5 linked regions of the Callithrix jacchus genome follow. Each later gene encodes a partner of the first gene's protein in a complex. Links are inferred from orthologs where the notes say so. Each region holds a gene or a part of one and is shown in the gene's direction. Other genes may lie near its edges. The genes, in order: ALYREF, MAGOH, SARNP, THOC1 and CHTOP.

The links.
Region 2: ALYREF (region 1) and MAGOH share a complex: the UniProt entries of both Homo sapiens proteins name them as parts of the ALYREF/THOC4-EJC-RNA complex. The link is inferred for Callithrix jacchus from reciprocal best matches to the Homo sapiens genes ALYREF and MAGOH.
Region 3: ALYREF (region 1) and SARNP share a complex: the UniProt entries of both Homo sapiens proteins name them as parts of the transcription/export (TREX) complex. The link is inferred for Callithrix jacchus from reciprocal best matches to the Homo sapiens genes ALYREF and SARNP.
Region 4: ALYREF (region 1) and THOC1 share a complex: the UniProt entries of both Homo sapiens proteins name them as parts of the transcription/export (TREX) complex. The link is inferred for Callithrix jacchus from reciprocal best matches to the Homo sapiens genes ALYREF and THOC1.
Region 5: ALYREF (region 1) and CHTOP share a complex: the UniProt entries of both Homo sapiens proteins name them as parts of the transcription/export (TREX) complex. The link is inferred for Callithrix jacchus from reciprocal best matches to the Homo sapiens genes ALYREF and CHTOP.

The regions. Positions count from the first base shown.
Region 1 is NC_133506.1:137,488,185-137,492,257, reverse strand, and holds the start of ALYREF (THO complex subunit 4), read left to right. Parts: upstream 1-1,273; 5' UTR 1,274-1,279; coding exon 1,280-1,537; intron 1,538-2,023; coding exon 2,024-2,155; intron 2,156-3,527; coding exon 3,528-3,675; intron 3,676-4,073. Other genes in the region: anaphase-promoting complex subunit 11, read right to left, coding at 1-50. UniProt on the Homo sapiens protein: Functions as an mRNA export adapter; component of the transcription/export (TREX) complex which is thought to couple mRNA transcription, processing and nuclear export, and specifically associates with spliced mRNA and not with unspliced pre-mRNA.
Region 2 is NC_133508.1:90,378,534-90,382,787, reverse strand, and holds the start of MAGOH (protein mago nashi homolog), read left to right. Parts: upstream 1-1,453; 5' UTR 1,454-1,523; coding exon 1,524-1,611; intron 1,612-4,099; coding exon 4,100-4,158; intron 4,159-4,254. UniProt on the Homo sapiens protein: Required for pre-mRNA splicing as component of the spliceosome. Plays a redundant role with MAGOHB as core component of the exon junction complex (EJC) and in the nonsense-mediated decay (NMD) pathway.
Region 3 is NC_133510.1:63,852,582-63,856,093, forward strand, and holds part of SARNP (SAP domain-containing ribonucleoprotein), read left to right. Parts: intron 1-176; coding exon 177-223; intron 224-452; coding exon 453-520; intron 521-3,512. UniProt on the Homo sapiens protein: Binds both single-stranded and double-stranded DNA with higher affinity for the single-stranded form. Specifically binds to scaffold/matrix attachment region DNA. Also binds single-stranded RNA. Enhances RNA unwinding activity of DDX39A.
Region 4 is NC_133514.1:63,805,713-63,809,224, forward strand, and holds part of THOC1 (THO complex subunit 1), read left to right. Parts: intron 1-789; coding exon 790-856; intron 857-1,053; coding exon 1,054-1,104; intron 1,105-1,194; coding exon 1,195-1,265; intron 1,266-1,973; coding exon 1,974-2,090; intron 2,091-2,566; coding exon 2,567-2,632; intron 2,633-3,512. UniProt on the Homo sapiens protein: Component of the THO subcomplex of the TREX complex which is thought to couple mRNA transcription, processing and nuclear export, and which specifically associates with spliced mRNA and not with unspliced pre-mRNA.
Region 5 is NC_133519.1:14,052,242-14,056,377, forward strand, and holds the start of CHTOP (chromatin target of PRMT1 protein), read left to right. Parts: upstream 1-1,328; 5' UTR 1,329-1,592; intron 1,593-4,136. UniProt on the Homo sapiens protein: Plays an important role in the ligand-dependent activation of estrogen receptor target genes. May play a role in the silencing of fetal globin genes.

The DNA.
Region 1 (4,073 bases):
ACCCAGAGCCAAGTGGCCACGCCATTCCAGCACTTAATCTTCACCTTCATGGCAGCAGAGCCTGTACCCGAAGGGAAGAGGATGACAGGCTTAATTTAGTCTGCAGAACTAGAAGATTTAGGCACCAAAATAGGAATAAGCCTGGCACAGTGTAGTCTCAGCTACTCAAGGGGCCAAGGCAGGAGATCACTCCAGCCCAGGAATTCGAACCCAGCCTAGGAACATCGTAAGCCGTTTCTATTTTACTTTTCTTTTGTTTTTGAGACGGAGTCTTGCTCTGTCGTGTAGGCTAGAGTACAAGGGCGCACTCTTGGCTCACTGCAATCTCCGCCTCCCGGGTTCAAGCCGGCCTCCCAAAGTGCTGGGATTACAGACATGAGTCATCGCGCCCGGCCCGACTAATTTTTTTTTTTTAAGAGACAGTGTCTCACTATGTTGCCCGGCTGGCCTCACTGAGCTCAAGCAATCCTTCCACCTCGGCCTCCCAAGCAGCTGGGATTACAAGTGTGCAATGGCACACCCGACTTTCGACTTTTTTTTTTTAGATATGGGGGTCTCACTACGTTGCCCCAGCTGGTCTCAAACTCCTAGGGTGAAGCGATCCTCTTGCCTCGGCCTCCCAAAAAGTTTGGAGCACAGGCGTGAGCCCCGCGCCGGGCCCGTACCAAAACTTGTAAAGGATATGACTAGCAAATGTGAGATTGGAGACTTCGAGGTTGCAGGTGGAGACCAAAAACCCCGGCTCAAAAACCAAAAAGCAACCCGCAGCAGGTCTGCACCGGCTGCAGCCCGCTGAGGCCACTCCCGCAGGATCCCGCCCCGAGCCAAGCGCACAGCCCTCGGGCGGGCGCAGAAACAAGGACCCCCGCAGGTTCCCGGACACCCGCCGCGCCCGCAGCGCCCCCAGCCCTAGCAGAAGGGCGGGGCAGGCGGGGAGGGAGGGGAGCGCATGCCCCACTCCCAACGACCGCCGCCCAACCCCCTGCGGCCTCGCACCTTCGCCAACCTAATCACGCACGGCTCTGCCCGCCCTTCCGTTGGCAGCGCTGACGTCCGCGCGGGAAGGTATAAAAACGACCACAGTCACGGCCCGGCTCCCTCAGCAGCGCCCGCCGAGTCCCGCGCGGCAGTGCGCACGCGCTTCCCCGTCTCTCCCCGTCCCGCGCGCGCTGCGGTCCGCAGGCGGCCAATCACTAGCCGCTCCGAGGCCGTAGCACCGGAAGGCCTCACGCGGCGCCGGAGGTGACGTGCTGGCGTGCTGACGCGCGGGCTCGAGCCGATGCCCGATTCCGCGCCCGCCATGGCCGACAAAATGGACATGTCTCTGGACGACATCATTAAACTGAACCGGAGCCAGCGAGGAGGCCGCGGCGGGGGCCGGGGCCGCGGCCGGGTCGGCTCCCAAGGCGGCCGCGGCGGCGGGGCGCAGGCCGCCGCGCGAGTGAATCGAGGCGGCGGGCCTATCCGGACCCGGCCGGCCATCGCCCGCGGCGCGGCCGGCGGAGGCGGGAGGAACCGACCGGCGCCCTACAGCAGGGTGAGTGTGGAGGCCGGCCGCACCGGAGAGGGCAAGCCGGGGAGGCTGGCGGCGAAGGCCGAGCCCGGCTGGCTGATAGGGCTGGTGGAGCGGCCGCCCGGAGGTCCGGAGGGTGCGTGTGGGAGGGCGCATAGGGGGTGGTGGGCGGGGGCGAGGTCGTTCATTCCGGGCCCGGCCCGGAGGCTGAGACCCTTTTCAACCCTTTGTTCCGGCCGCCGGGACCTCGTGGCGGCGTGAGCGGAGGGGTAGCTGAGCGCGGCAACAGCGGCGGGAAGTTAGTGGAAGGGAACTGAAGTTGTGCTGCCGCGGTGGGACCGTGCGGCCTCGTACCTGGGGCTGCTTTAGCGGCCGGAGGGAGCGCTGGCGGCCTCATCTCCGCCGGATCCTCTCAGGCCGGGAAGAGGAAGGGTCCGGGGTCGCCGCGAGGACTGGGAAAGCCCTGGACTGAGACTCACAGGTCTGCTGTTGTTGTGGTTTTTCCTTCAGCCAAAACAGCTTCCTGACAAGTGGCAGCACGATCTTTTCGACAGTGGCTTCGGGGGTGGTGCCGGCGTGGAGACGGGTGGGAAACTGCTGGTGTCCAATCTGGATTTTGGAGTGTCAGATGCCGATATTCAGGTAAGAGACTAAGGCTTCTCGGTGACCCGTTCGCCCTGCACAGGACGGATCATATTTTGGGGGATGTGGCCCTGAGTCCCCTTCCCGCCTTGGCAAAGGGAGCCCTCCCAGCTCTGAAGGGCTGCAGGACAGACCTAGCGCCAGTAAAGCCAGGGTCAGTCCGCAGGCAGGTGCGAGCCTAGCCTAGCCTGAGGATCTGCTGCTCTTAGTCTGAATATGGGTTCTGTGAGTGAAAATCCTCTGCCAGGGCTTCCAGTTTCTAACAGAGAAAAAGACTGATCAAATGTGAGTGGTTCTTGGCTGTTAGACTCAGCCCACTTGTGCTTTAAATTTAGTGCCTGTTTTAGTGGGTTAATGTGACAAAAAGAATCTTCCTTATGTACCTTGTAAAGCAGAGGGAGCCTGTGTGTTTTTCTAGCTCTGTTTGACTTGAGTATTGTCTTAAAAAGACCTTGTAAATTGTGGTTTTATCACTCCCCGCCCCCATGTCCTGTCAGCGACTTGATTCTCTAACTCATTAAAGCTTTTTTTTAAAAAAAAAAAAAAAAAAAAGAAAGAAAGAAAAATTGAATCCCAACGGCATTTAAAGTTGTTTTCTGGTTAAGAAGTGGCTTTTTGGGAATCAGTTTTGGAGATGGCTGGGCAGGGTTCAGTTGTCCACAGCCTAGCCATTTGCCTTGGGAGGACAGAGCAGGGCCAGTGAGCACTCACAGTGTCTCAACACTTTTTTTAAGGTGGTTTCTAGCATCCACTGGAAACCGCTTTTGGTGAACTCCACTTCCCGCTGTGTGCCTGCGGCCGGAGTATCCCCACACTCTGGGTTCCCTCTCCAACTCCCAGCCTGCCTGAGGTCAGGGCAGTTTCCATGGCAGCGCTTGACTTCAGACTTTGCCGCAGGCTTGAGTAGGAGGAGAGGGAAAGGTGAGCCAGAATCTGCCTTTGGGGGAGGGGCTGGGGTCAGGGTTCCCAAGTCAACAGGCCCTTCAAGCTGGTCTGATACCGGACCAGTTCCCTTGCTCTTGATCTTGGCCTTTACAGTTTCTTGGAACAGCCCTTGGGTGTGTTGTAAATTTTCCTTTGTTGAAGAGGATAGTGGCTTAATTTTGTGCCCCTTTCTAGTGGGCTTTGCGACTTCCTCTACCTGCATCGTGGTACACCTGTCAGGTCCCCTCAATGGCAGGAGCCCTCAGACCCAGGCGCTCTTGGAAGTTGCTGTCCCTCCTGCCCTGCCCTTCCCTCATTTCCCATTACCACTGCCCTGCCTCCCAGGGAACCACCCCCAAAACAGCTCACGCTTCCAGGGCCTGTCCCTGGGCCACCAGAAGGAGCACAGTTTTGTTGCTCTTCTGACAACTGCTCTTTGCAACTCCAGGAACTCTTTGCTGAATTTGGAACACTGAAAAAGGCAGCTGTGCACTATGACCGCTCTGGCCGCAGCTTAGGAACAGCAGATGTACACTTTGAGCGGAAGGCAGACGCCCTGAAAGCCATGAAGCAGTATAACGGTGTCCCTCTGGATGGTGAGTGTGGGCGGGGGGACCCACGCTGACTGTCGGGCTTGTGGAGTTTGGGGCTGGCACCTGTCCAGGTAGGAATATGGGGTACCCCTGTGGCTGAGGACACTTTGCATTTGCCCCTTTGTCTCTCTCTTCCATCTGCCACCTCTCATGCTGCCCCACACATCTGGACCAACCTCTTGTGAACCCCCATCCAGCAAGCTACATCCCTCCCCTCCTTCAGCTCCTTCCGGAAGATTCACTTCTGTGAAGCCTTCTCAGAACCGCCATAGTACACCTCTGAGTGCGGGGCTGTAGTCGTAAAGACAAAGGTACCGGTTCTTCTTCGTCAGGTCACCCACACCTCTCCACCTACGAGCACCCCAACACCTCAGCAAGCAGCCCACCTAGTCTAGACTGAG
Region 2 (4,254 bases), on another chromosome or scaffold:
TAGTCCCCTTCTCTTTTATACAATTCCCTTGTTACTACCCATATCCAGTGTTTTGTAATAAAAATGCCTTATGGTTTTATAGCAATTTTGAAATTGTTTCTTATAACAGTTCTGCTAGGTGTACATTATTACGCTCATTTAAAGAGAAGGAAACTGAAGTCTAAAAAGTTGAGTCAGTTCACCTATAGTTACAATGAGTCACTGTTACACAAGCGATTATTTTAACCCATCTCCAGTGATTTTCCCCCACCACACCTACTCTACACTCTGCTTCTAATGCTTTTTCAGGGAGAAAAGGACTCAATGTTAAGACTGGGGACAGGAATCAAGACTGCGGTCCTGTCTGATTCCTGTCCCCAGTTCTAGTTGCCAGGTCCCAAGAATGATGTCATCTAGGCACTGTCTCTAGAACCATTCGTTCTAAGCTGGAACTTAGATGAATGAAAGTAGGCTCCTATTATAAAATTATGATCTTGATTGCCCTGGGCCTACTCAACTGTACATTTTTTCAGAGCCAGAAAGGCTTCATAGAGGACAATCACTTTACCCTGAAAAGAGCGAGCCCCTTTGGTCAGTGGTCCTCAACTCTGACTCACCTGGGAGCTTTATAAAAAGTACCAATTCCCAGGCCCAGCGGTGGAGATTTTAATTGGCTTGGGGCCCTGGCATCAGTATTTTTAGAGGCTCCCAGGTGATTGCAATGCGCAGCCAGGCTGAGAATCACTGCTGAGTAAATGGGATGAGTAATGGGAGATCAAATACTCACTTTAACTTCTCAAGCACCTATTCTGGAGACCAGTGGGGTAGAAAGATAGAAATAAAAGGTAGAAAGGGATGCAATGGATAAGTGTGAGTGAATTAGTTCCAGGGAAATGGCAATCTCCACTGTGGATTCAGGGAGAGCGTCACTGAGGACGACTTTCTTTTTTTTTTTTTGAGACAGAGAGGACGGCTTTCTTAACATTCAGGTCAGTGGAAGCCAACTTGAGGCACATATCGTGCGCGGCGTCCTCCGAGGAGCTCGGGTCATTTTACCCCACTTTACTGCCGAGATGACCTAGGTGCAGAGACGGTAAAGAGCGGTGTACGATTCACACAAGTCGGAAGTCCTGTGAACTGAGGTTGAGCCTGGCGGGTGCAAGGCTCGGGGTGTTCGGCCCGAGGTCTTTAAGTGAGGTCTCTGAACTCCTCGTTCAAAGCCCAGAGGTTGGTGAGCGGTAGGCTCTCGGCCTCAGGCCTGGAGAAAACCCAGGGGGTTGAGGGGTCAAATCTCAACCTCGCTCCCGCGTCCAGCTGGAGGGACCGAGCTGCTCGGCCCAGCCTCCGGACTAAACAAAGTTCGTTACCCGTGTAGCAGTCTTTTGCCGCTTCCGGGCGAAGAGGTTAGCAAGAGTGAAACCCTCCACTACGCGACGTCGTGGTAACGTCACTTCCGCGCGCCGCCCCAAACGTCAGTGTCGGGCGCAGACCGCGGCGGTGCGGCTTTCTCTTCGAGGTTCCGTCTCGGTTGTCTTTTGCGAGCCATGGAGAGTGACTTTTATCTACGTTACTACGTGGGGCACAAGGGCAAGTTCGGCCACGAGTTCCTGGAGTTTGAGTTCCGACCAGACGGTAAAAGCAGCCTGTAGCCTGCCGGGAGCGGGGACCAGGGATAAGGGCGGGCTACAGGCTGCCCGGAGTCGGGAGGCGGAGGGTCGGAAATCAGTGTGGAAAGACAGGAGGAAGGGACTGAGACCTGTGCAGCGAGAATCTGAAAGGAACGCCCCTGTGTCTGCTCCAGGGTTTTTTTGTTTTTGTTTTTTTTTAATCCATTTAACCAGTGTTGACCTTACGCTCACTGTGTGCCAGGCTCTGTTCCACTCTTTGGGGAAACGGCAGCGAAGGTAGACAAACTTCCCCTCTCATGGAATTTGTGTTTTAGTGCCGGGAGAGAGATCATAAACAAAAAGATGATTCCAGATAGTAGTGAGTGATTAAAAAAAAAAAGGTAGAATAATTGCTGGATGGGCTGCTTTTAGATAGGTTGACCATTAGAGCTCTCTGTAAAGGGTATATTGCAGCCGATCCCTACTTAACAACAAGGACCCAGCCTTGTGAAGCTCAGGAGGAAGACCATTCCACCCAAAGGGATTGGCAAATGTCAAGGCTGCAGGGCGGGAATGAGCTAGGCATGCCTCTCAAGTGGTCAGTGTGGTTAAAGAGTGATAAGGTGAGAGATAGCAGGAGATGACGTCAAATAGGTAGGTAGGAGCCACACCTTGTAAGTCTTTAAAGACCATGGTAAAAGCTTTGGACTTGAAAGGTTTGTTGTTGTTTGGACTTGGAAGGGTTGTTGTTTGTTGTTGTTTTGAGATGGAGTTTCGCTCTTTTTGCCCAGTCTGGAGTGCAGTGGCACTATCTTGGCTCACTGCAACCTCCGTCTCCCGGGTTCAAGAGATTCTAAGCCTCCGCCTCCCGAGTAGCTGGAATTACAGGCACCCACCACCACACCCGGCTAATTTTGTATTTTTGGTAGAGATGGGGTTTCACCATGTTGGCCAGGCTGGTCTCGGACTCCTGACCTCAGATGATCCGCCCACCTTGGCCTCCCAAAGTGCTGGGATTGCAGGCGTGAGCCACTGCTCCCAGCCGGACTTGGAAGGTTTTAAACAGAGAAGAAATGGGATCTGTTCTTGAAAAAGCATTCTGGTTATTGGGTGCACAAGGGCAAGAGTGGAAACAGGGCTATTGATTAGGAGGAGACTGTTGCAGTTGTCAAGACAAGAAAGTTATTGGTTGGGACTACGGCAACAGTAGAAATGGAGAGGATGGTTTAGGAAACTGTTGGAGGCAGAAACAGTTGGACTTTGCTGATTGATAGGATCTTGTTGAGGGGGCACTGTGGTGAAGGAAAGAGGAATCAAAGATAACAGAAAACATCCACTAAGTGGGGCACAAAGATGAAACTGACAGGCCTCGACTGTGAGGGAGATAGATTTATAAGCAAACAGTGATGAAACAGTGTATTGGGTGTTGTGGTAAAAAGAAACAGAGGAGGCTCGCAGCAGAGAAGAGGCACCTAACCAAGCCAGAGGGTCAGAGAAGGCTTCCTACATAAAATGATGTGGGAGAAAGGGATGTGAGGAATTGGTTAGGAGACCAAGAGTCAAGAAGGCATTTTAGACAACATGCAAAGAGGCTGAAAACCAAAAAGTGCTTGGGATGTTTCAGACAGAATACCAAATAGTTTGACTCCAGCCATGTGAGAGAAGAATATTGCAGGAGTGAGGCTAGAAAAGCAGGCAGGGGCCAGCTTAGCTGTATGCCATGTTGAGGAGTTTGGATTTTACCAGGAAGGCAGTGGAAAGCCATTAACTGTATTAAAATATTAGAGTAACCCAATCTGATAGGTCTGTTACCACATCACCGCGTCCACCGTATGGACAGTGAACTGAATGTGAAGAAACTTGAGGCAGAGACACAACACAGAGGCTGTTGGATAAATTCATTTGGCTCATCTCACATGTATGTCTTCTAGTCTACGGCAGGAGAAGTCATGTCTTCTATTTACTTTTATCTTCCCCTCATCCCCACCATATACTCACATTAACCTATTACATGCACCCATGGACAAAGGGTCTGGTGTACCAAATATGCTCAGTGATAAAAGCAACAGCTTTTCCATCACAGAAATAGAGGGTGGCACAGTCACATGATAATATATGTAAACAGCATCCTACAGTTTTCAAAATGTTTTCACAACTCATTTGAGCCTCAGGAGGTCCTATGTACGGGTAAGTTATCAATTACTATGCCTGTTTTCAGGATATTAACCTGCAAAAATGTGATTTGACAATGTCAGAAAAGAGCCTGCTTGTGTTTATATCTCACCTGAGCTGCGTTTTGCAGTAGAGTGTCAGCTGTATATTTGGCTGTTTAAGCCTGAAGTGAACTGAAAAAGACTAGTATTGTTGATATACCATAAGAGTAAATAATAAATCTATTAGACACTTTGAGCAAGTTAGATACATTTTAGGGAACTGCTGATAGTCTTGGTATGTATTGATGCTTTTATTCATATGTTTTTATTATACATGGAATTTGTTTTTTGCCCCCACAGGGAAATTAAGATACGCCAACAACAGCAATTACAAGAATGATGTCATGATCAGAAAAGAGGTATGAGTCTTCTGCCTTCTGAGAGTCCTTCATTTGCTACATTTCAGCTTTTTGTCTTGCATTTTTTTGTTCTTTCTGGTAGTACTGAAAGGTAGA
Region 3 (3,512 bases), on another chromosome or scaffold:
GTTAGGTAGAGATCTGGTTTTATCTTCTCCAGATGTAGCAGATTTTATGTGCATCAGTTTCTGCCTTCATTATTGGATTTTTTGGGGGAAAACAAAGTGATTATAATTTTAACCTTGGTAAGTGATCAAGATGGTTTTGTAGCAGGGCTTGACCTGAATATTTTAATATTCTTTAGCTGAAGAGGAGGCAAATGAAGAAGATGTACTGGGAGATGAAACAGAGGTGAGTTGGATAGAGTAAGGTTAGTCTCTGGTCTGGTAATGCGCAACTGCCTTGGCCACATTGCTTTAACATCAGTTACTGGAGAACTTCGATGTAAATTTATTAAGGGAGCATAAAATGGGTATGAAGGTTCTGAGAGACTGGTTTATTTTAAAGTTCTGGTGTTCTTCTGTTGATAGATATTTATTCTTTAGATTTATGTTAACCACCTTGTTTCATTTGGTTTTAGGAAGAAGAAACAAAGCCTATAGAGCTCCCTGTCAAAGAGGAAGAACCCCCTGAAAAAACTGTTGATGTGTAATTATCCCTTTTTTATAATCTGAGTACAGAGCAGGCAGCTCTTTTTTTAAATTGTGTTTAATGTTTAACTCTGTTTACCTCTTAGATGTTCCCATTGGCCTTTTCATTTCTGGTTAGATCTTTTTGGTTTTTTTTTTTCAAGAAGGGGCTACTTCAAAGTACTTGGTCCCAGTGAAGCAAAGCAAATTTTCTCCGAGTTATATAATAGGTAATTAGGACCAAGCGACTTCAAAACCAGACATAGTTTAATTCTCCTAGCCTTTGTTTTTCTTTTGTAGGGTCACCATAATAGATTATTTTGTTACTCTATAGAGAATCTGCACAGTTCTCTATACAGTGTAAAACTGTAAACTCTGTTAACTCTTTTTTTTTTCTTTTTTTTTGAGACAGGGTCTTACTGTGTCTCCCAGACTGGAGTGCAGTGGCGTAGTCTCGGCTCACTGCAACCTCTGCTTCCCAGGCTCAAACAATTATCCTGCCTCAGCCTCCCAAATAGCTGGGATTACAGGCATGCGCCACTACTGCCCTTCTAATTTTTGTAGTTTTCTTTCTTTTTCTTATCCTTCCAGGACAAGTGGCACTCTGCACCGGACCCTGGTCCCAGCAATTTTTGTATTTTTAGTAGAGATGGGGTTTCACCACATTGGCCAGGCTAGTCTTGAACTCCTGACTTCCAATGATCCACCTGCCTTGGCCTACCAAAGTGCTGGGATTATAGGCATGAGCCACCGTGCCTGGCCCATTCTGTTAACTCTTAAGAGTTTTGCAGTTTTCTGTAAAACTATAAAACTGAGGCCAGGCACAGTGGCTCATGCCTGTAATCCCAGCATTTTGGGAGGCCGAGGCGAATGGATCATGAGGTCAGGAGTTCAAGATTAGCCTGGCCAAGACGATGAAACCCCATCTTTACTAAAAATACAAAAATCAGCTGGGCATGGTGGTGGCAACCTGTAACACCAGCTACTCTGGAGTCTGAAGCAGTAGAATTGCTTGAACCTGGAGCTGTCGGTTGCAATGAGCTGAGATTATGCCAGTACACTCCAACCTGGGCGACAGAGCAAGATTCTGTCTGAAAAAAAAAAAAAAGTAGAACTGTATATAAGGAGTTTTGTAAGGGAGGAGGGTGTTGGATAGAGGTTACGTTTCTCAAGTAACACTCTGTTCTGTCTTGCTTTCTGATTTATAGTGGAGGAGGGGAAGACAAAGTACTAGAGTGGAAAGTAGATCTTGATTTGTTTAAATTATCCCACAAAGGTGATCCTAAACATCTTTAATTTGGGGCTTTTTCCACAACTCTCTGGCCATTTTGTACTATAGCACATTAACAACAGTTGAGTCCCTTTTAGCATTTTTGTTCTTCATAGCTGTGTTAATGCATTTAATTATAAAAGGCTACACACACACACACATAATTTTACTTTTTGAGAAGGAGTCTCGCTCTGTCGCCAGGCTGGAGTATAATGGCATGATCTCAGCTCACTGCAACCTCCGCCTCCTGGGTTCAAGTGATTCTCCTGTGTCAGCCTCCCGAGTAGCTGGGACTACAGGTGCTCATCACCACGCCCAGCTAATTTTTATATTTTTTAGTAGAGACAGTGTTTCACCATGTTGACCAGGATGGTCTCAATCTCTTGACCTTGTGATCGCCCACCTTGGCCTCCCAGAGTGCTGTGATTATAGGCATGAGCCACCATGCCCAGCCAAAAGGCAATATGTTTACAAGCAAAAAATCAGTACCGGGCCGGGCGTGGTGGCTCATGCCTGTAATCCCAGCACTTTGGGAGGCCAAGGTGAGTGGATCATGAGGTCAAGAGATTGACACCATCCTGGTCAACATGGTGAAACCCCGTCTCTACTAAAAATACAAAAAATTAGCTGGGCATGGTGGTGCGTGCCTGTAATCCCAGTGACTCAGGAGCCTGAGGCAGAATTGCCTGAACCCAGGAGGCGGAGGTTGCGATGAGCCGAGATCGCGCCATTGCGCTCCAGCCTGGGTAAAAAGAGCGAAACTGCGTCTCAAAAAAAAAAAAAAATCAGTACCTAGAGGAGTATATCAATTGAAAATTAAGTACTCTTTGTATTCATTCTCATTTGACTTTACTGAGGTTTTTAGAACAGTACATTCTTTTTGAAATATTTTATACATGTATACACACACTATGCACACTGTTCCTTGATTTTTTTTTTCATGTCTGGAAATTTTTTATATCATAATTTTCTTATTTAAGTGTTATATGCTAGGCATCGTTCTGAATGTAAATAGTTTCTTTTAATCCTCGGTAGACCCTATGAAGTCAGGATAATTATCCTAGGAAGTGGTCTCTTTTGTTTAGCTTGTTATTATGGGAAATTACAAGTATATACAAAAGTTATGAGACTAGTATAATAGACTCTCATCTACCAATAACCCAGATTTACTAGCTATCAACTTAGAACCTTGTTGTTTCTAGCATTTAATAGTATTCCATTCTGTGGGTAAACAGTAATTTATTTCACCAGTCTCCTGTTGATGGACATTTAGGGTATTCATAAAAGCCAAAAAAAAAAAAAATGTAGTTCTGCATGTCTTTTTATAATTATTTATACACACAAGTATAACCATAGGGTAAATTCCTAGCAGTGGATTTGCTGCATCACAGAGGATGTAACATTTAACATTTTGATATCTTTTTGTCAAATATTCCTTTATTTATTTTTTGAGACAGGGTCTCACTCTCTTGCCCAGGCTAGAGTATGGTGGCACAATCTTGGCTAACTGCAGTCTCCATTTCCTGGCTCAAGTAGTTCTCCAGCCTCAGTCTTCCAAGTAGCTGGGACTATAGGCACAAGCCACCACACCTGGCTCTTTTGTAATTTTTGTAGAGATGGGGTTTCACCATGTTTCCCAGGCTGGTCTTGAACTCCTGAGCTCAAATCGATCCACCTGCCTTGGCTTCCCAAAGTGCTGGGATTACAGGTGTGAGCTGCCATGCCCAGCCTGTCAAATACT
Region 4 (3,512 bases), on another chromosome or scaffold:
CTAGGCTTATCATTTGCTGGCTGTAGTACAGCTCTTTCACACTTGTAATTTTAAGGTACTAGCACATGGTAAACACTCAAAAAATGTTATTTCTTATCCTATCTATTTTGGATGTTTGGTGTGGCATAGTAGAAAGATCAAGGACTTTGGAGTCAGACCTAGGTTTGAATTAAAGCTTTATGGCCTTGAGCAAATCATTGAGCCACCATAGTCTGTTTAATACGTACTTGTATTTGTTCTGAGAATTCAGTGAATAATGCATGTAAAGTGTTCAGATCCCAGCTATCAATATTTATAGGATGGCTTTAAATCACTAGTGCATAATGAGTTCTCAATTAATGGCAGCTGGTAACAATATGGGTTTGCCTGTTACCTTTCCTAGGGTTTGGGTGTTTTTATTTGTTGTATTTTGAATGTATCTTAAAGGAATGTAGCATGCCAGACTGAATGTGCATTATGTATACAAATATCTTAATATCAAATCAGAGGTTTTCATTTCACATTCAGCTTATTTTAGGAAACATTTATTGCTCTGTTCATAGCTAATCTGATGGATTAATTGAATGTTTTATTCTCCTGCACATGCTTTTATGTTTTCAGTACCAACTTCTTGAGGAATAAATGCAAGAATTTTCTCTTATAATCCTCTCATTTGTGACTATGTTTATCTTGGTAATGTTTGACACTATCCACAGCATATTACATGTTACATGCCTTCTGTTTTTTAAACCTTAAAATTGAATATGCATTGCTCTAACTCAAGCATGCTTTCATTGCTTTGTTCCCTAGTTCAAACTATGTTTTAACTGATGAACAATCACTTTGGATTGAAGATACTACAAAATCAGTTTATCAAGTAAGTTCAACACGCAACAAACCCATGATTGAAAAAATGGAAATTTAGAATTTTCTTTGTTTCAGCCCCAAATAGGAAAATAAGGATAAAGTTAAGCTCAGGTACAAGACCACAAACACTCCTTGGTTCTCTGCCTACAAACCACTCCTATGATGCAGAAAGTTGTTGAAAGCTTAGTATATTCTTTCTAATCACAGCTACTATCTGAAAACCCCCCCGATGGAGAAAGATTTTCAAAGATGGTAGAGGTATGTGATTTTTATGTTTACATCCTCTTTTTAGCACGAAAGAGAATTTCAGAGGATTCCATTAACCAAAATAGAATTTGTTTTTCCCAGCATATATTAAACACTGAAGAAAACTGGAACTCATGGAAAAATGAAGGTTGCCCAAGTTTTGTGAAAGAAAGGTAAATACATACTCATCACAAGAACTATATATAAGAAAGGCTTTTCAAAGTATGCTTTGATATGATTATAGCATGTAAAGATATGTATATATATTTCATATAAAAAATGTAAGTTGAACTCTGTAAGAGTACAATCACTTTGATGTACCTCTGTTTGTATTTTTTTTAACCTCAAAAACTTCTTGTCATTAAGTTCCTAGAGCAAACATCTATATAAATTATTGAGAAGACTGTATATATATTCTGTGTAATTTGCCCTATAATGTGGCATTTTTGTCTTATTTCTGATAATTGTTCTATCAGAAACATGAAGTTTTCATCTTTTGTTTTGAGATGGGAATCTCGCTCTGTCACCCAGGCTGGAGTGCAGTGGTGCGATCTTGGCTCACTGTAACCTCCACTTCCCAGGTTCAAGCAATTCTCATGCCTCAGCCTCATGAGTAGCTGGGATTGCAGGCATGCACCACCATGGCTAGCTGATTTTTGTATTTTTAGTAGAGACAGGGTTTTACATGTTGTCTAGGCTGGTCTTGAACTCCTGAACTCAGGTGATCCACCCACCTCAGCCTTCCAAAGTGCTGGGATTATAGGTGTAAGCCACTGTGCCCAGCCAGTTTTCATCTTTTTTAGGAGGAAAACAATAACTAAATTTTCTTTTACATTAAACATTCTTCTATTTCTGCTATCCATTTGTAATTCAAAAAATAGTGTATGTTTTGTTCACCACAGAACATCAGATACCAAACCTACGAGAATAATTCGGAAGAGAACAGCACCCGAGGATTTCCTAGGGAAAGGACCCAGCAAAAAAATTCTGATGGGAAAGTAGGTGAACTTGCCTTTATGTGGGATGTTCTTATTTTTGTATTTTAAAGATGTTACTGTAAGAATTCTCCATCTCTTAACATCAAATGGCTATGCCACTTTTTTCCATTTCACAGACAGTAGAATTGTTTAGACTGATGCAGCTCACTTCTAGTTGCTGCAAGATATCATAATCCTTGAGTTCTCTTACCTTCCAGTTAAAATTCAAATTCATTGCTTTATATTATGCTTGAATATTTTTAGGAAACAACCTAAAGATTATATCATTATTAGTCAGAATTATAATAGATAATAATATGCTTATATAGAGAATAATTTTAGGTATTGTAAATACCAGAAATCATTGAGAAAAGTAAAACTCATACTATCAACATCCCAAATCTGTTGTTTGCATTGTATTGTTTTTCTATTCAGTTTCAAGGCACATGAGGATGGTGTCCATAAAAAATGTATTTATTTGTGTATCTGTTTTGTAGTGAGGAGTTAACAAGGCTTTGGAATCTTTGTCCTGATAATATGGAAGCCTGCAAATCAGAAACAAGGCAAGTTGAACATTTTTCACATGAAGTGTTGCTTTTGTCAAGTGCTGAGTAGAATGGAACCTTTTCTCAGCTATGAAAAGAGCTCAAACAAAATTTAAGTTTTTTGTGGTTGACTTTGGCACAGTAGAATATAGCTTCCCACCATAAAACACCTAGAAGTTCTGATAAAATAATTTTAGAAATACAAAAAAATAAAGATTCACAAAAGGAATCAAAACAAATAGAAGAGTAAGCCTATGAACTGATACGGTTCTGTGGGAGCAACACTAATGATTCCAAGCTTTGAGAACCAGGGAACTTGGGTTTTAATAATCACAGAAAGGACAGAAAGGCCTTAGGCCTGCACAAATTTGTGAGCAAGTTTTCCCCTGAACAAAGCTGAAATTTTTGAAGCACTACACATCTGTAAAAGAAGGGCAGGGTGGGGGCACGCTCACTGGCACAGGAAACAAGGAAGCTTATCTGCCTTTACCAAGGTGTAGGTGACAGGGAAAGTATTCCCTGAGAAATTGTAACCATAAGTCTGCTCTCAGGCAGTGTTAACAGTTTAAATTTTTCCTACCAGCAGTAGGAAAAATCCTACCTCAAGCTAAGATAGTGAGCTAGAAAGTCCCATGCTGGCAATAAAAATCTTTCTGAAGGTCCAATCTTCAACCCAAACTAAACAAGATTCCCACAGATAAATATCTAAAGTTATATTCACAAGGTTATTAAAAAAAATAAAACCCAAAGATAAATTCACCATCCAAACTTTAAAAACTCTCAGGGAAACAGTCCACCATGAGCAAGAATTGGCAGACAGAACAAGCAACAGAAGTTGGCCACTTTAGATAATAAAATCATAAGATAAAGGGTGTAAAATAAGTATATTTCAGAAAAT
Region 5 (4,136 bases), on another chromosome or scaffold:
GCCAGGAAGGAAAAATGAAAGGGTCTTGACGTGCCTATGGGGCGGGGTTGCATTCTCTCATTAATCAAACGTATGCACACTGTATTGTGTACAAAACCATTAAAAAATCTTTTACTGAGGCCGGGCGCGTTGGCTCATGACTGTAATCCCAGCACTTTAGGTAACAGAGGAGGGCAGATCATTTGAGGTCAGGAGAATTGCTTGAACTCAGGAGGCAGAGGTTGCAGTAAGCCGAGATTGCACCATTGCACTCCGGTCTGGGTGACGGAGACTCCATCTGCAAAAAGAAAAAGAAAGAAAGAAAGAAAAATTCCTTATTGAGCAGGGCACATAGCTCACGCCTATAATCCCAGAACTCGGGAGGCTGAAGTGGGAGGATCATCTGAGCCCAGGAGATCAAGGCTGCAGTGATCCTTGATTGTGCCACTGACTGCAGCCTGAACAGCCCGTCGCAAAACAACAACAAAAAATCAGAGAGAAAAGATAAATCCCTTTGTAGGTCTGCAACAAAATCAACACGGATGGCAGGTGTGGAGGGAGGACATGGAAGAGAAATCGGAGATGCAAAGGTGCCCTCACAAGAAGGATTAAACAGTATTGTGGGGAGAGGAGGAAGTGAGGAGGAAAACATGGACGGGCGGCCGTGGAGCCGGCGAAGGATCCGCGAGGAGTGTGCTCCCAATACTGGCCTCCTGGGCCTTGGCCGGAGCATTTACGGCACTTCACAACTCTCAGACTGGGCGAGTGGACATGAGGGGAAAACCAGTACAAATTCCCCAGGCCCAGTGGTCCGGTAGAAGATGAGGCAAGTCCATGTAAAGATTTTATTTTATTTTTTTTTTAATAGAGACGGGGTTTCACCATGGCCAGGATGGCCTCGATATCTTGACCTCGTGATCCGCCCGTCTCGGCTTCCCAAAGTGCTGGGATTACAGGCGTGAGCCACCGCGCTCCGCCCGTGTAAAGATTTTTAAACTGTGTACCTTGGCTGGGGAACGGGGGGACGAGGGAACTCGGGACTAAAATCCCCTCTACGAACTACCCCAGGAAGTCGCCGTGCAACCACTACGGTAACGGCCTACGGTAACCCTGCACGACCCCACTACGGGACCACTGGCCACGCCCCTGGGGGGACGGAGCACTGCTTGCAACGCTAAAGTAACGTTTGCTCAAGCCCCGCCTTCGCCATAAGGCTCCGCCTCTGATTTCTGCGCAGGCGTAGCTCAAATCTTTCCCGCCCTCTAGTCGTGCGCAGATCTGACTCCTGACGTAATTGCGTAGACGCCATTTTAGCCGGTCCTACACGCACGGGACGTGGCGGCCATTTTGTTTTGGACACTGAGACGGAGCTGGCGGCCGCTGCAGACGAAAGTCGGGAAAGGGCAGGCCGAGTGAGCAGACGGATTTGCCGACTAGACAGCCAACCAGCAACAACAAACTAAGTTCGCATACTACAGCTTACGCATCTAACCAACCGCCCATCTAGCTAACCCGAGCCCCTCCACCGTCAATTCAGGTTCGGCCGGTCCCCGGCCCGCCTGCCGGAGCCGTGGTGGCAGCCCCGGGAGGAACCCTGGCGTCTGTTTCCTTCGGTGAGTTTCGGTAGTGAGAAGGAGCAGGGAGTCTTGGGGAGTGGAAGGGGCCAGTAGATGCGGAGAGCGGGTGGTGGCACGTGGAAACGGCTCAGGTGGCGGAGCGTGGAGGCCCCGGGGAGGAGGCGGAGCCCCTGCGAGGGGACGGGGGAGGGGCTGAACTGGAACCTGGTGGCGGGATTGAGGGAGGTTGGGTTTGATAGGGATAAAAAGGGAACTTATTTGGCGGGTTGAGCAAAAGTGGGAGTCTTGACAGGGCTTTGAGGATGGTAGGGAGATTAAATGAGAAATGTTGGAAATTAATGGCAGCGTTAGGGTTAAATATTGTGGAGGGCTCTCTGCGAGCTAATTACCAGGTGAATATAGAAAACCTTTCCTAATCACTGCCCCAGATCCTCAGTTCCTTGTTAAAGACCCTACTTAATTCTGGAGTTGAAATCCAATTTTGAAACTAGGCATACCTGTATTTTCACTCTGTAAATCTGTGTTTCTCTACTTTAGCTGCACATTGGAAGCACCCCTAGGTAGCTTTCCCCCACCCCACAATTATTCATTTCCAAACCTCACTACCAGAGATTCTGGTTTAATCTAGGCCCAGATATTCGTATTTTTTTAATTTATGTTTTAATAGAAACAAGGTCTTACCATGTTGCCCAGGCTGGTCTCGAACTGCTGGGCTCAAGCAGTCCTCTCTCCTTGGCCTCCCAAAGTGTTGAGATTACAGGCGTGAGCCACCTTGCCCAGCCCTATTTTTGTTTGTTTTTGATACGGAATTTCACACTTGTTGCCAAGGTTGGAGTACAATGGCATGCTCTCGGCTCACTGCAACCTCTGCCTTTCGGGTTCAAGCGATTCTCCTGCCCCAGCCTCCCAAGTAGCTGGGATTACACAGGCACTGTCGCTAGCCCGGCTAATTTTTTTTTTTGCTTTCTTTTGTTCGTTTAAGACAGTGTTTCGCCATGTTGGTCAGGCTGGTCTTGAACTCCCGACCTCAGGTGATCCACCTGCCTTGGCCTCCAAAGTGCTTGGATTACAGGCATGAGCCACCACGCCCAGCATTTTTGTATTTTTAGTAGAGACGGGTTCACCATGTTGGCCAGACTGGTCTCGAACTCCTGACCTCAGGTGATCCACCCACCTCGGCCTCCCACCAAAGGGCTAGGATTACAGGTGTGAGCCACCGCTCCCGTAGTACCTGGACCTATTTTTTTTTTAAAACCTCTTTGGGTAAGTCATGTAGTCAAGGTTGAAAATGACTGCTCTGGCCGGGCGCAGTGGCTCAAGCCTGTAATCCCAGCACTTTGGGAGGCCGAGGCGGGTGGATCACGAGGTCAAGAGATCCAAGACCATCCTAGTCAACATGGTGAAACCCCATCTCTACTAAAAATACAAGGAATTAGCTGGGCATGGTGGTGTGTGCCTGTAATCCCAGCTACTCGGGAGGCTGAGGCAGGAGAATTGCCTGGACCCAGGAGGCGGAGGTTACGGTGGGCCGAAATAGCGCCATTGCAGTCCAGCCTGGGTAACGGGCGAAACTCCGTCTCAGAAAAAAAAAAAAAAAGAAAGAAAAGAAAATGACTGCTCTAAATTAAAAGCCAAACTCAGCCGGGTGTGGTGGCTCAGGCCAGTAATCCCAGCACTTTGGGAGGCCGAGGCTGGTGGATCAGGCAAGGTCAGGAGTTTGAGACCACCCTGGCCAACCTGGAGAAACCCCATATCTACTAAAAATAAAATTAGCCGGGCATGGTAGCACCTACCTGTAGATCCAGCTATTCAGGAGGTGAGGCAGGAGAATCCCTTGAACCGGGAGGCAGAGGTTGCACTGAACCCAGATCAGGCCACTGCACTCCAGCCTGGGTGACAGAGCAAGACTCTGTCTCAAAAAAAAAAAAAAAAAGCCAAACTCCACATTCTCATTGCTGGATTGGGTTCTGCCATTTTTGAGAATTTCACAGGTATTTTCTGGGCCTTGAAGTTTGTTTTGGGTTTTTTGCTTGTTAGTATGTTTTAAAGAGATGGGTTCTCACCTGGGCCGGAGTGAGAACTGGGTGCAGTGGTGTGATCATGGCTCATTGCAGCCTCCAACTCCTGGCCTCTAGTGATCCTCCCTCAGTAGCTAGGATCACAGGTGCTGGCAACCACGCACCACTATTTATTTATTTATTTATTTTCTTAATAGAGTCTGGGTCTCACTTTGTTACCCAGGCTGAACTCCAACTCCTGGCCTCAAGCCATCCTGTGGCCTTGCCCTCCTAAAGTATTAGGATTACAGATGGTGAACCACCACACCCTGCCACCTTAAAGTTTTAATAATCTGAGGTAATTGTCATAGAAACTTAAGCACTTTTTCTGGGCGCAGCAGCTCATGCCTGTGATCCCGTCATTTTAGGAGGCCAAGGGTGGGAGGATAACTTGAAGCCAGGAGTTTGAGACAAGCCTGGGCGACATAGCAAGACCCCCGTCTCTCCAGAAAATTTTTAAATTAGCCAGAGATGGTGGTGCACATCTGTGGTCCCAGCTACTCAGGAGACTGAGGTGGGAGGA